3 linked regions of the Drosophila melanogaster genome follow. The protein of the gene in region 2 interacts with the protein of the main gene of each other region in a pairwise test. Each region holds a gene or a part of one and is shown on either strand. Other genes may lie near its edges. The genes, in order: CG13405, RpL15 and CG4213.

Evidence for each region.
Region 1: the proteins of RpL15 (region 2) and CG13405 interact in a two-hybrid assay, tested with the Drosophila melanogaster proteins (one large-scale study listed by BioGRID).
Region 3: the proteins of RpL15 (region 2) and CG4213 interact in a two-hybrid assay, tested with the Drosophila melanogaster proteins (one large-scale study listed by BioGRID).

The regions. Positions count from the first base shown.
Region 1 is NT_037436.4:73,530-77,286, forward strand, and holds CG13405 (uncharacterized protein), read right to left. Parts: upstream 1,804-3,757; 5' UTR 1,682-1,803; coding exon 1,109-1,681; 3' UTR 925-1,108; intron 863-924; 3' UTR 416-862; downstream 1-415.
Region 2 is NT_037436.4:27,265,467-27,269,085, reverse strand, and holds RpL15 (ribosomal protein L15), read right to left. Parts: upstream 1,832-3,619; 5' UTR 1,563-1,831; exon of another isoform or gene 1,495-1,562; 5' UTR 1,477-1,494; coding exon 1,168-1,476; intron 1,133-1,167; exon of another isoform or gene 1,063-1,132; intron 995-1,062; coding exon 689-994; 3' UTR 641-688; downstream 1-640.
Region 3 is NT_033779.5:400,220-403,976, forward strand, and holds the start of CG4213 (uncharacterized protein), read right to left. Parts: upstream 1,980-3,757; 5' UTR 1,445-1,979; coding exon 788-1,444; intron 724-787; coding exon 506-723; intron 449-505; coding exon 304-448; intron 238-303; coding exon 1-237.

The sequences.
Region 1 (3,757 bases), about 27 Mb from region 2:
AATGGAGCACAGGCGCGTAAAAAATACCCAAGCCGCAGACAGTGCAATAACAACAAGCGGGAGAACGCAGTAGGGTTGGAGAATTGGGTGGGGGGGGGGGGGGGGGGCGAAGAGACATGAACAGAAGACCCAAGGCAGAGGTCCAAAAAACAGAAACAGAACCAGATGGAAAATGGAATGGAATCGAAGCACAGTTAAAGGAATTTTGCTGTATACGTTAATGTGTGCTTGTTTTTGTGTCTGGGCACACACTCATAAACAATGATGAACGGGGTGAATGGACGCAAGGTGACGTCGCAACGCGGTCGAAGCCGCTGCTTCTGCACATTGGGTTGGCGAATTTGGCGCCGACAACATTCCCCTTCTAAAATCGCGCTTTTGAATTTTCCACCTTAGGGTTAAACCATAAATTTCTAAGTTGCAAGTCCACATAAATTATCTTTTAATCGAAATAATTTACATTTCACTTTTCTCCAAATCTTTCTAAATGTAAATAAAATTTAAACAGTGACCAGTTGTGTAGAAAACGTCAAACTATCTCGTTTTTGCGAAGTGTTCCCCATCAAGCGCCACAATGGGCGTGGCACTTGGCGGAGAGTGAGAATTGAGGCATAATAAAAGAAGGAGGAGGGAACGAAGAAATCATCGAGAGAAGTTTTGGTTCAATTCAGTTCGTTTCGATTCATTCTCGTCTACTGGCGTCTTTCTGTGCCTCTTCGGTTATTTGTTTATGGCTGTTTTGCTTTGATCCCCTTATTCTGTCTGGGGGCACAATCGTCTTGTTTTTGCGCTTATTGCTATTGCTCTACACTTTCCCGCTATTTGGCTACTCCACGTCTGGACTCTTGACTATTAAACCCAGCTAAAAGAAGTGCTAGGCAGATATTTTAGAAATCGAGGGATTAAATTAAATTTTGCATTTACTTGCATTTTATTGAAATTTTCTTGCATTTTTTATTCACATTCCCTCCATCCTTTCCCATTTTATTGAGTGCAGTGTCGTTGATATGTGTAGATATGTATATATGTAAAATATGAAGATATTCCACAATTATTCAAGTATTTTCATAACTTTTCCCCGTCAATTTTCGGAAACTCCGCTAGGAAACTAGGTACAACATAGTCCATTATCCGATTCAGAATCCGACTCATATTCGTCAGCCGAATCCGTGGGACAAAAGCCTGATAAGGTCGATTGTAGTTCAGTATAAAAGTAGCTCTTCTCGTCCTCTGTGACTTCCATTTCTATATCTCTGTAGCGCCTAGGTGAACCGAAGTTTTGGAGGTGCATGGCTCTATTCACGAGAACCTTTAAATGGATCTCCTCATGCTCCTGACAGACCCTAAGTTGTTTGTATTCCTGCTTGTCTCTATAAGTCTTGCACTTCTTGAACATCAGTCGATTGGACTTTGCCTTGAGCTCTTTTATAATCCTGTTCTGCGCATCAATAGCGTTGACCACCTCCTGATACTCCTTGTACATTGCCTGTTGCTCTTCATCGTCTTCATCGCTCTCATTGAGGAGCTCAAAGGGATCCTTCTCCTCCACCTCGAACTTATCTTCCTCTTCAACGTCCTGTTCGTCTCCTTCGCCCTCTCCCTCAAAATCTTCAGCAGCTTCTTGTCCTTCATTTTGCTCATTATCAACGTCTCCAGAGGCTTCTTGCTCCACATCAGACATTGCTTCGGATGTTAGGGATAAATTGTATTAAGCGATGCAGGGGTATTAGTTTACATAATTATGAAATACTTTAATAAACCAAATTTTGATATATAAATCAAATACAAATTGTTGTAGTAGATTTATCATGTGATCGACAAACGTAAACATAAAACTCCACACCTTAGAGCCAGTAAAATCTCAGTTTACTGCACACAACAACTACTTTTATTATTTCAGTTCGCCATTTTTTTTAGCACTTCAATAACTTCCGTTTCCGTTTCCCTCGTTATTAGATCTTTTCATATACGATTTATTGTTCTTCTGCCATCATGATAGCTGTTGCGCCGTTAACTTCATTCCTTCTACAATCTCATCTCTCTTATTTCACGCTTTTATTGACTCAGTGATTTCTTGTGGCTGGATCCGGTGGATTACGTTTCAAAGCGCACCACTCGACGGCATGCGTTCGCATTAATTATAGAAACTACAGAATGCATTTTAATTTGGCATAATGTTTATCTCGCAGCAGGGTCGTTTCATCGTACTACCGGTAGTTAAGACGTGAATTCTAACAGATTACAACCTGTAAGCCAGGAAAGAAAGGGTATGTATTTGATAACTGGCCCAGCGACACAAGTTGCTGTTTTAATATCAAACTGGTGCATTGAATGGCATAATAGGAATGCACAATATGTACGCAAAATGTACCTGCAAAGTTGTGTGCAATGAAAGACAAAAATGTAGAGAACAATGTTTAGCAAAGAAATTGAATATGTCGATATAGGGATATACAAATTTAAATTTATTTATTTATTTAATTTAATTTATTTGAATTTACTTAATTAAATAATAAGCACCTTGTTTGGTCCAAGCTTAAGCTTTTATCCTTGATGTTTTCTTGATTACGTCCCTGTTTAATTTTTGGCGTAATTACCAATTGCTTGCGAGTCCCTGAAAGCGACAGTTGCATTAGAAGCGAACACCCATAGCCAGAGCCTATGGGTTTTATCGTCCGTATCAAGGTGGCTTTTCGATTAGCTCCCCATTCAGATTACGCATACGTCACTTAAGCTCAAAAAGACTGCGCCGCCCATTTTAAATCAAATAACGGGCAATTTAATTTACAAAGTTGAAAGCAAGCATAGGCCACCCCCTTTAAGTCTCATACATATTTTGATTTTTATTGGGACATTTTATTCTTTTTTTTTTTTTTTTTTTTTTGATTCCTTTCAGACCATGCAAGTTGCATCAAGTTTTTCTTCCGCTCAGACTTTTGTTTTCCTTTGTCTTGCATCTTTTTTGTGCTATTGTTACAACGGAATGGGGACTGTTTTTTTGTTTATGCCTCTACTGAATAAAATGGTTTCATTAAAAAAGTTTTAAACTTTTTCATTTAATTTAACTGCAGCAAACAACAAGCATCCTTCATCATGAAGCCTTTCTCCTTCTGCGCTTTTCTTTGCCCACTCTCTTGCCATTTTTCACTGCAACTATTTTGTAGAGAGCATCTGTTTCAGATATAGAGATCCTTAGCATGCTTTGATTGTTTTTTTTTTTTTTTTGAATGAGTTTCAATTAAACTTTTCTATTTCCATTTATTGTGCATTTTCCTTCCGCAGCGTATGCTGTCGCAGTTTGTTTCAGTGAGTTGCCACCCCGATTATCACCTGAGTGAGAGGTATCTTGTAGTCGAGGCACTCTACTCTCTCTGTCCTGGTAAACTTTTATTTTAAAATGGCCTCTTAAACGTATTGTCAACTCAGTATATTATTTCGTCGCTTGATTTCCTTTTTTGTTATTATTTTAATCATTCCCATTCACAGAGCATAATTTAAAAGGGGACGTAATAAAAAAGTCGTGTGATGGTGTGAGAATAGGGTTTGTTGAGACCGCCCTTTCTAGTAAGCCGGTCTTCATGTGGCATGACAACATGTCGTATTTGTAATATTTAAACACAACCGCTCAGCGAAGGTTGACAATCTTTGACATTAGACGGGCGTAATGATGAACTCTGACACGCTCAAGGGATGGCAGCGAAGGGAGGAGGTGGAAATGTGAGCGGGGCAGACCCAGAAGAAAAATCAATTTTTGCAC
Region 2 (3,619 bases):
GTTTGAACGTATGAACGTATCGATTTTAGGAACTATAAAGGGTAAAATCTTGAGATTAAGCCTGCAGCTTTCAGAAACACAATAAGCGCAGCGCAATTGTGTTTCCGAATGTTGTCACGCTTAAGCTTTTCAAAAAACGTTTTAATATTATTTAAATACAAGCCGCCACGCCCGTTCTTACACCTACATAAGTCCCAAAACAACCACGCCCTCGCTTTTGAACATTTTTTTAAATTTAATATTGTTTCATTTTCCAATATCTTTCGATATGGCATTTTTTAGATATGAAGCAGAAGAGCTATAACAAGCAAAAATACGTTTGCGTGCCCATCGTCGTTCAAATGAGATTTTTTGCTCAACCTTGAGGTACTTTTTTGTTAGATCCGCTAAACGAAAAAGGGATTATTTGCATATATTTTAAAATTTTTTGTAAAAGAATTGGAGTCTTGCCGAAAAATGGTCTTAGTACATTTTTGAAAATAAAAACTGGAAGTTAATGTAGATGAAAGAAATTTTATATTTTAAACCAAAATTCCTAATAAACCAATATGCCAAACCAAAAATGCGAAAACCTGTTACTATATCTATTTTTGCGTTTAAAAGCTCTTTTCAAAAAATATATTTTTTAGATATGTTCTTTGCGTGCACGAAGTGCTTTATTTAACCGATAAAATAAATGCTTCACAATTTATCGTTTTCTGTGCATGTGCTCACGGTTCTTGCGCTTCCAAGCAGCACGCCTAGATCCACCAATTGTCTGGGAGTATCTATATCCCTTGCCAATGCCACGCGAACTTTTTCCAGCTGATGTAAGGCCACGCAATTCACGATGCTTGTGGACATGCTTGCAGATCCAGTTAATTTTTGGATCACGACGAATAGCACTGTGATGAGTATCAATTAAGATTACTTCAAAATATTTATAAGAAGCATCTTGCGCAATCCAATACGAGTTCAAAACTCGCAAGCCGCCAAGTCTACGACCAACACGTTCCTACAAGAAAATAAAATTCATGATATATTTCAGTGTTTTTTGGTGAGGACCTCTTAATTGGACAAGAATATTTCAGACATCTAAGGAAGTTAATGTCAACATATATTGTATGTCAAAAGGGGTTGTCATCAACTTGTTCGAACGTGTGGTTAGCAAATTTCGTTTTTTCTTACCTCAGCAATGGATTGCAAACCACGATATGGTTTTAACTGGTTTACACCATGACTCTTCGGCTTGCCATAAGTGCATCCTTTGGGAACTGGACGCTTGCGACCTCCGCGGCGAACACGGATTCTATAAATCACGAACCCCTGTTTGGCTCTGTATCCTAAACGTCTTGCTTTATCCGGGCGAGTAGGTCTTGGCGAACGATGCAATTTCGTTAGTTGGCGGTATTGCCAAACGCGAATACGTAGCAAGTAGCGCATCACATCGCTCTGCTTCTTCCTATAAAGTTCCTGCATGTACCGATAAGCCCCCATCTCTGCAATTTGATAGACCTAGTAACAAATTCATTATTTATTTTATAACTGTCACATCATCGGTCCATCAACTTCTTAAACTGTACATATTACAATCTAGAACAGATAATAATTCGTATCAATGTTACATAGCAATGTGAGTACAAAAACGAACATAACATCCGTCAGATATCCATAATCTACACTGAGCTCAGAGTGGTGCATGGAAAAAATCATCATACAAACTTAAAAACATTTTAAAAGGACCGAAAATAATATATAAACTTATTTCCGAAATGATCTCGTACTAAAGAAAAATTATTGACCCGAATGCACAACCAACTTACAGCACGGAAATATTCCAAAAGAAGGAAGCAATGAGTTGGATCACACGACAAACAAGCTCAGAGTTGCTTTGGGATATACTTACCCTAATGCATGAAACATTGTAAAACGGAATTATACCCCTTTCTCACAGAATTGTATTATTTTTAAAACATCCCAGCATGTTCCGTTCCATGTTAATTTATCTTATCGCATTCGATTTGGGAAAAGTCTTTTAATTTCGTTATTAGGTGCTCTGGTTTTCAAATAATTTTTGCTATAGTGCTATGCGTTATTTCTATGCTATTTCGCTTTATTTCGTTTCTTGCTGCTCAAACAACTGACTTTTTTCTTTGTCAAAATCAAACAACGTGAAGATATCCTTTATATATTTGAAATCGTTTGTTTTGAAGCCAGACGGACGCAGAAATTGCTGTTTGCAATTGTTTTTCATACAAAATAGCTACCCCATTTTTCACAGTTTTTATTTATTTTTTAATGAAAGCATTTTAATATATGGTATAAATATTTTTACCTGCCTGTTTCGTTTTCCCGCAATAACTTTTGACGACGTACTTAGCGACACCTTAGCAAATCGAAATTTGTTGTTGTCGACAGCAAATGTGTGCTTGTCACATCGGAGGCGAGTTCCTCGCCTATCAGATACCCGTTCCTCAGCTAGTGCGAAAAAATTTTGTTGCAAATAAAAAAAATTATAAAAATAATTAAAATGTTAAAAATAAACAACACGTTCTTCAAAAGTGTAGGCGTGCCAGTTTTTGGAGGTTTGCGTGCGTTAGAGTGGGCGGGTCACCAAACTTGCGCTGCGTCTTTGCCTCTAGAACCTGTATGCTGAGATCTCGATGTTCATATAGACAGACGTACATGGCTAGATCGACTCGGCTATTGATCCTGTTCAATAATATGTTTTGTATAGTCGTAAACGCTCTTTCTGCTTGTTACATAATTTTCAACGAATCCAGTAAGTCTTTTACTCTACAAATAACGGGTATTAAAAGGCATTTTTACATTTCGGCCAGACAAAAGTCAAAATTGGTTTACGACCAAAAGCGGAATCATAAAATTCATACGAATTCGATTACCGGATCATGCACGATTATATTTTTGATACCGATATACAGGTTCAGATTTAAAAATGTTTTGAAAGTAACCAATTTCATAAGCGACAAATGTTATTTGCATAGGCACTAGAATAACAACAGTCAGAGCCAGAGACCGGAGAGCTCTGCAGCCGGTTGCTGGCACTAGAATAACTATAATAATTTATATAATAACTAATTTATAATAATAACTATAATAATTTCGGTCAATTGGCATCATGTGAAATATGTTTTCTCTGCATTGCCTTAGTGCTATTATTATTTAAATATAGCATAGAAATATTGTAGTATTAACCGAATCTATTTAAATGTCACAAATTAGAGTATTACGTTTGCGAGGTGTGAGAAATTATGACAACAATGATTGATGATAGCTTGTGTCCGCACTCAGTGCCTCCAGATATAACTTTTGCACTAAACAGATTTCATATTTTTATTTATTTTCTACTATGTTTTATTTTTATGAAATATTTTTTTTCTCAATGTACTGACTTTTTTTTTAAATTTATGGTTTATTTATTTATTCAAATTACAGCAGTTATAATAATTCCCTTTGTCTATGCTTTAATTATGTAAAATATTTATTAAGTCTTTTGACTTAAATTTTAAATTTTAAATTTAAATTAGATTCAGTAGAATTATTTTCTTATATTCCAATTTGATGGTGGGAAGAAAACTTTTTTAATTTTCCTTTTAATTTCTCTAATCCGTTTGAGTAA
Region 3 (3,757 bases), on a different chromosome or scaffold from region 2:
TTTGGGTGTGGGTGTGGCGCTGCGACTTTTATCTGATTCCTCGGCGGAATCTCCATGACCAGTAGCTTGCTCCACAAGGTCGAAGAGCAACTTGGGCAGAGTGGCACCGTCGCTGCAGTTTCCCTCCGCTTGGGTCATTTGATTGAGGAGGTGGCGGTTCTCCTCCAGCATTCGATTGACGCGATCGATGTTCATGCTGCTCTTGCCATTGAACCCCATGATTAGCTGGCTGAAGAGCTGGGAAAGGATATGAAAGGATGTTACACGAAAATGGCTATATAAGTCTATATAAGTTGCACTCACCATGTTAACTGCACCCACTTGCTCACTAAGCAGACGCTTCTCAAACTTGTGCTCGCCGCACTCCTCCCGGAGCTTCGCCAGCTCCTCATTGGCCATCTCCACCTCTTTGAGAAGGCTGTGATTGCGGTCCTCCAAGCTTTTATTTCTAGTACAGGAAGAAAGATCAGTAAAGTTTGGTTCAATGGATAGAAAATTCGCTTACTTATCCTGCTCGGCCGTAAGTTCGTCTCTCTTGATCGAGATTAGGCGCTGGAGATTCTCGTACTCCGCAGCAGCCACTCTCTGTCGCTCTTCATAAAGTTGCCTTAACTGGCGGATATTCACCAGTTGGCGCTCGTATTCCTGGCGAAGATTGTTCGACATAATCTTCATTTCGCGCTCACTAAAAGAGTTTTCGATTTCCGTCAGCTTCATCTTGAGCTAGTAGTAAACCATTTATTTAATATGGATCTTGATTTCTATACGACCTGCATTACTAGCTCACCTGAGCACACTGTTCCTCCTTCACGCTCAGCATCTGCTTGCAGCAGGAGATGACCTCCTTCAGGGTTCCTACCTGGCGTTGAACCACTTCCACTTCTCCACGCAATGACAAATTCTCGGCCTGTGCCTGCTGCAAAGCCAACTGAGCATTGGCCAGTTCGATATTGGCATGGCGGCTCCTGGAACTGGGATTCTCATCATCTGGATCTGCATCAGGCTTACTGGGACTATTCGAATGGTCGTGCTGATTATCGGCTTGACCGTCTGTAGCCGTAACTTTTCTAAGACGTTGATTCTCAGATTTTTCTATGGCCAATTGTTCTTTAAGACTAGCAATTTCATCCCTCAGGCCCTGCACAGCATTTTGGCGAACCTCTTTTTTCTGACGAAGCTCTTCTCTGAACTCTTCGAGGGTCTGTTCTCGTTGATGGGTCTCATTTCCTTTGTCCTCCATTTCAATTGCAACTTTATTCTCACGATATTTCACTCTATTTTCGGGAAGTACCTCCTCAGCTTCTTTTTGGGTTGTGGCTCGGGGGGCCTGTTCCAGAATGAGATCCTCGTGCTCGATGTTGTTCCACCAGGGCTCGTCATCAGTGGACTGCTGCATCTGCATTTGCGTATCATCCGCAGACTGTGTGGACTCGGCATTTCCCATCTTTACCAACAGAACAAAGACGAACGAGCTGTGGTATGCGGTTGTGATGATCTGTTTACCAATGCAGATTCGCCTGGCGAGCGTTAAATTTACGATTCGCTTTAATGCGACTTTTCTTCTAGAGAAGAACTCTTTGTCGGCACAAAGAAAGCCCAAGATCCACCGATCTACAGATCGCCACCAATTGATATGGCACCAATACCAGCAGGGGAAAATACCAACAAAAATCGGTGTCTATATTTGTGTGCGACGATCACACACGAGTTTGCAGATTTCGCAATTATCTATTGACTTTCACTTTTCAACCAAGGATGTTCGAGAAAAAATAATGTCCCGATTTCCATTAAATATTCTTCACTTGCACATTGAACTTCGAAAGATACGGAAAAGGAGAAACGTAACTAAACTAAATATCTAGTATACATATGATAAACTTCTATATGTATACGTGACGTTGGAAAATTTTCGGGTTCTAATTTCTATCCGTTCGACGGTCGAACGCAACTTTTCGGTTAGCCAGCTCGGGAAAAACTGAGAAAACATTGAATAGATTCTGCTATTTTTAACCCACTACGATCTCTCCTGCTTTCAAACGAATTTGGCTTCTCTCGGCGGCACTCCCAACATAAAATGCTTTGTTTTCGAGCATTAGAGATTCTTGTTATGTTGAGGGTTTGGCAAGATGTCTGAGAGTCTTCTTAGGACTCTTCCCTTCACATTCTTAATTGTTCTTTTTAGTTTTATGCACATTTTAATTAGAAGAACGTGTCAGATGAATCCGTCTAAAATTATACACAAGCGTCATTTTAATTATGAGTAAGGGGTAAAACAAAACAAAACTCTTGCCACATCGCCTGTCAAGAAATGAAGATCAAGACCAGTTGTCAAGAGCTGAAAGAGAAAGATCCGCAACACTTACTAGGTGAATGATCTGCACTGTTTTGAAGACGATGTTTCCTAACATCAGGAACTTTAATTACATATAAAAAGCATACAAAAGAATTAGCATTACTCTCAGTTTTGGTATTAGGTAAAAACTCTGGGTGAGTATGAACACATGTTCAAGGTTAAATACAGCACAATCCTATTCATTTTTCAATTCATACACGATCACAAACTTTTCTTAGCGCACCCCTGTCTGACCCACATTCGTTGACCATTATCACTTCGTTAAAGAGAATAAATCTCTGGACCTTTATTAACCAATTTGTGATAGTGGCATAGGGTATCCCGCGCACCCCCGAACTCAATGAAAATCTTTCGCGCGAAAGTTTCAAATGAAAATCCATTTGCTAGCTGATTTTTGCACTGGCCACGCCAACTTCCTGTTTTTTTCCCCCAGTGCGCGCATTTGAAAAGTGGGAAACACGCAGCAACGATTCCAAACCAAGGACGGTGAAGGGTTTTCCGGGGTAGGAAGGAAGGATGGCGCACACATTTGGCAAAGTGTCGCCAGGCTTGAAAATGAAAATCAACAATGCAATTTGCCATGGCGCCTCGCTCTGCCCCTTAGTTCTAGGTTTCTCTGTTGTTTGTAGCGACTCAAAAGGGAAAAAATTCTGCTAAAAACTTGAAGCGCCAGGCAAAAGTTGGGCCCCAGGAACGCCCTCAGCTTTTGCAGAGATTGCACACAGGCAAATGTGCAGCGAAAGTTGAAAGTAGCAAGGATACAAGAACCAGGCATCAAGGACGCTCTGCCCAAAATAAGTTGCAAGAAATCCATTGTGTTCATTATAATGGAATAATAAACCGGAGTGACTGCGTTCAGATTGGGGTTCTTTCCTTTTCCATTAGCCCCTGAACCATCTCAAATTGATGATATTTTCTTGATGTTCCCACAACCACTTCATGTTTTCACGTTAAAACCCAACAAAGTAATTTGGCAATTCCAATACAAGAAAAATTAAGAAATCTGGCATCAGCCTTGATTAACACCTATCTTAAGACGAAATATAATGTTAGTAAAATTTTCATATTCTCGCAGTCATTAGACATTAATGTGCCAGTCAGTGGGGTTTAAGCCCAAGTATTCGACAAAACTGCTTCTTAGAAGCTTTAGATGGCGTATTTTGGGGAGGGTGCTTCAGATTAATATGCACATACATACATATGTGCATACATACGCCACCTATGTGGCTCACAACAATGCAACAACTTCATTGCCAGAGCAACACGTTGGCACATCCTGTTGCAAAGTCTCATTTCCGCAGGAGTTGTGTTCTACATACCGGATGCCTTTGCAAATGCTAAATGGTTATTGCCGTATGTGCACAATATGTCAGACGTTGCAAATAAATTATATTTGCTTTTATA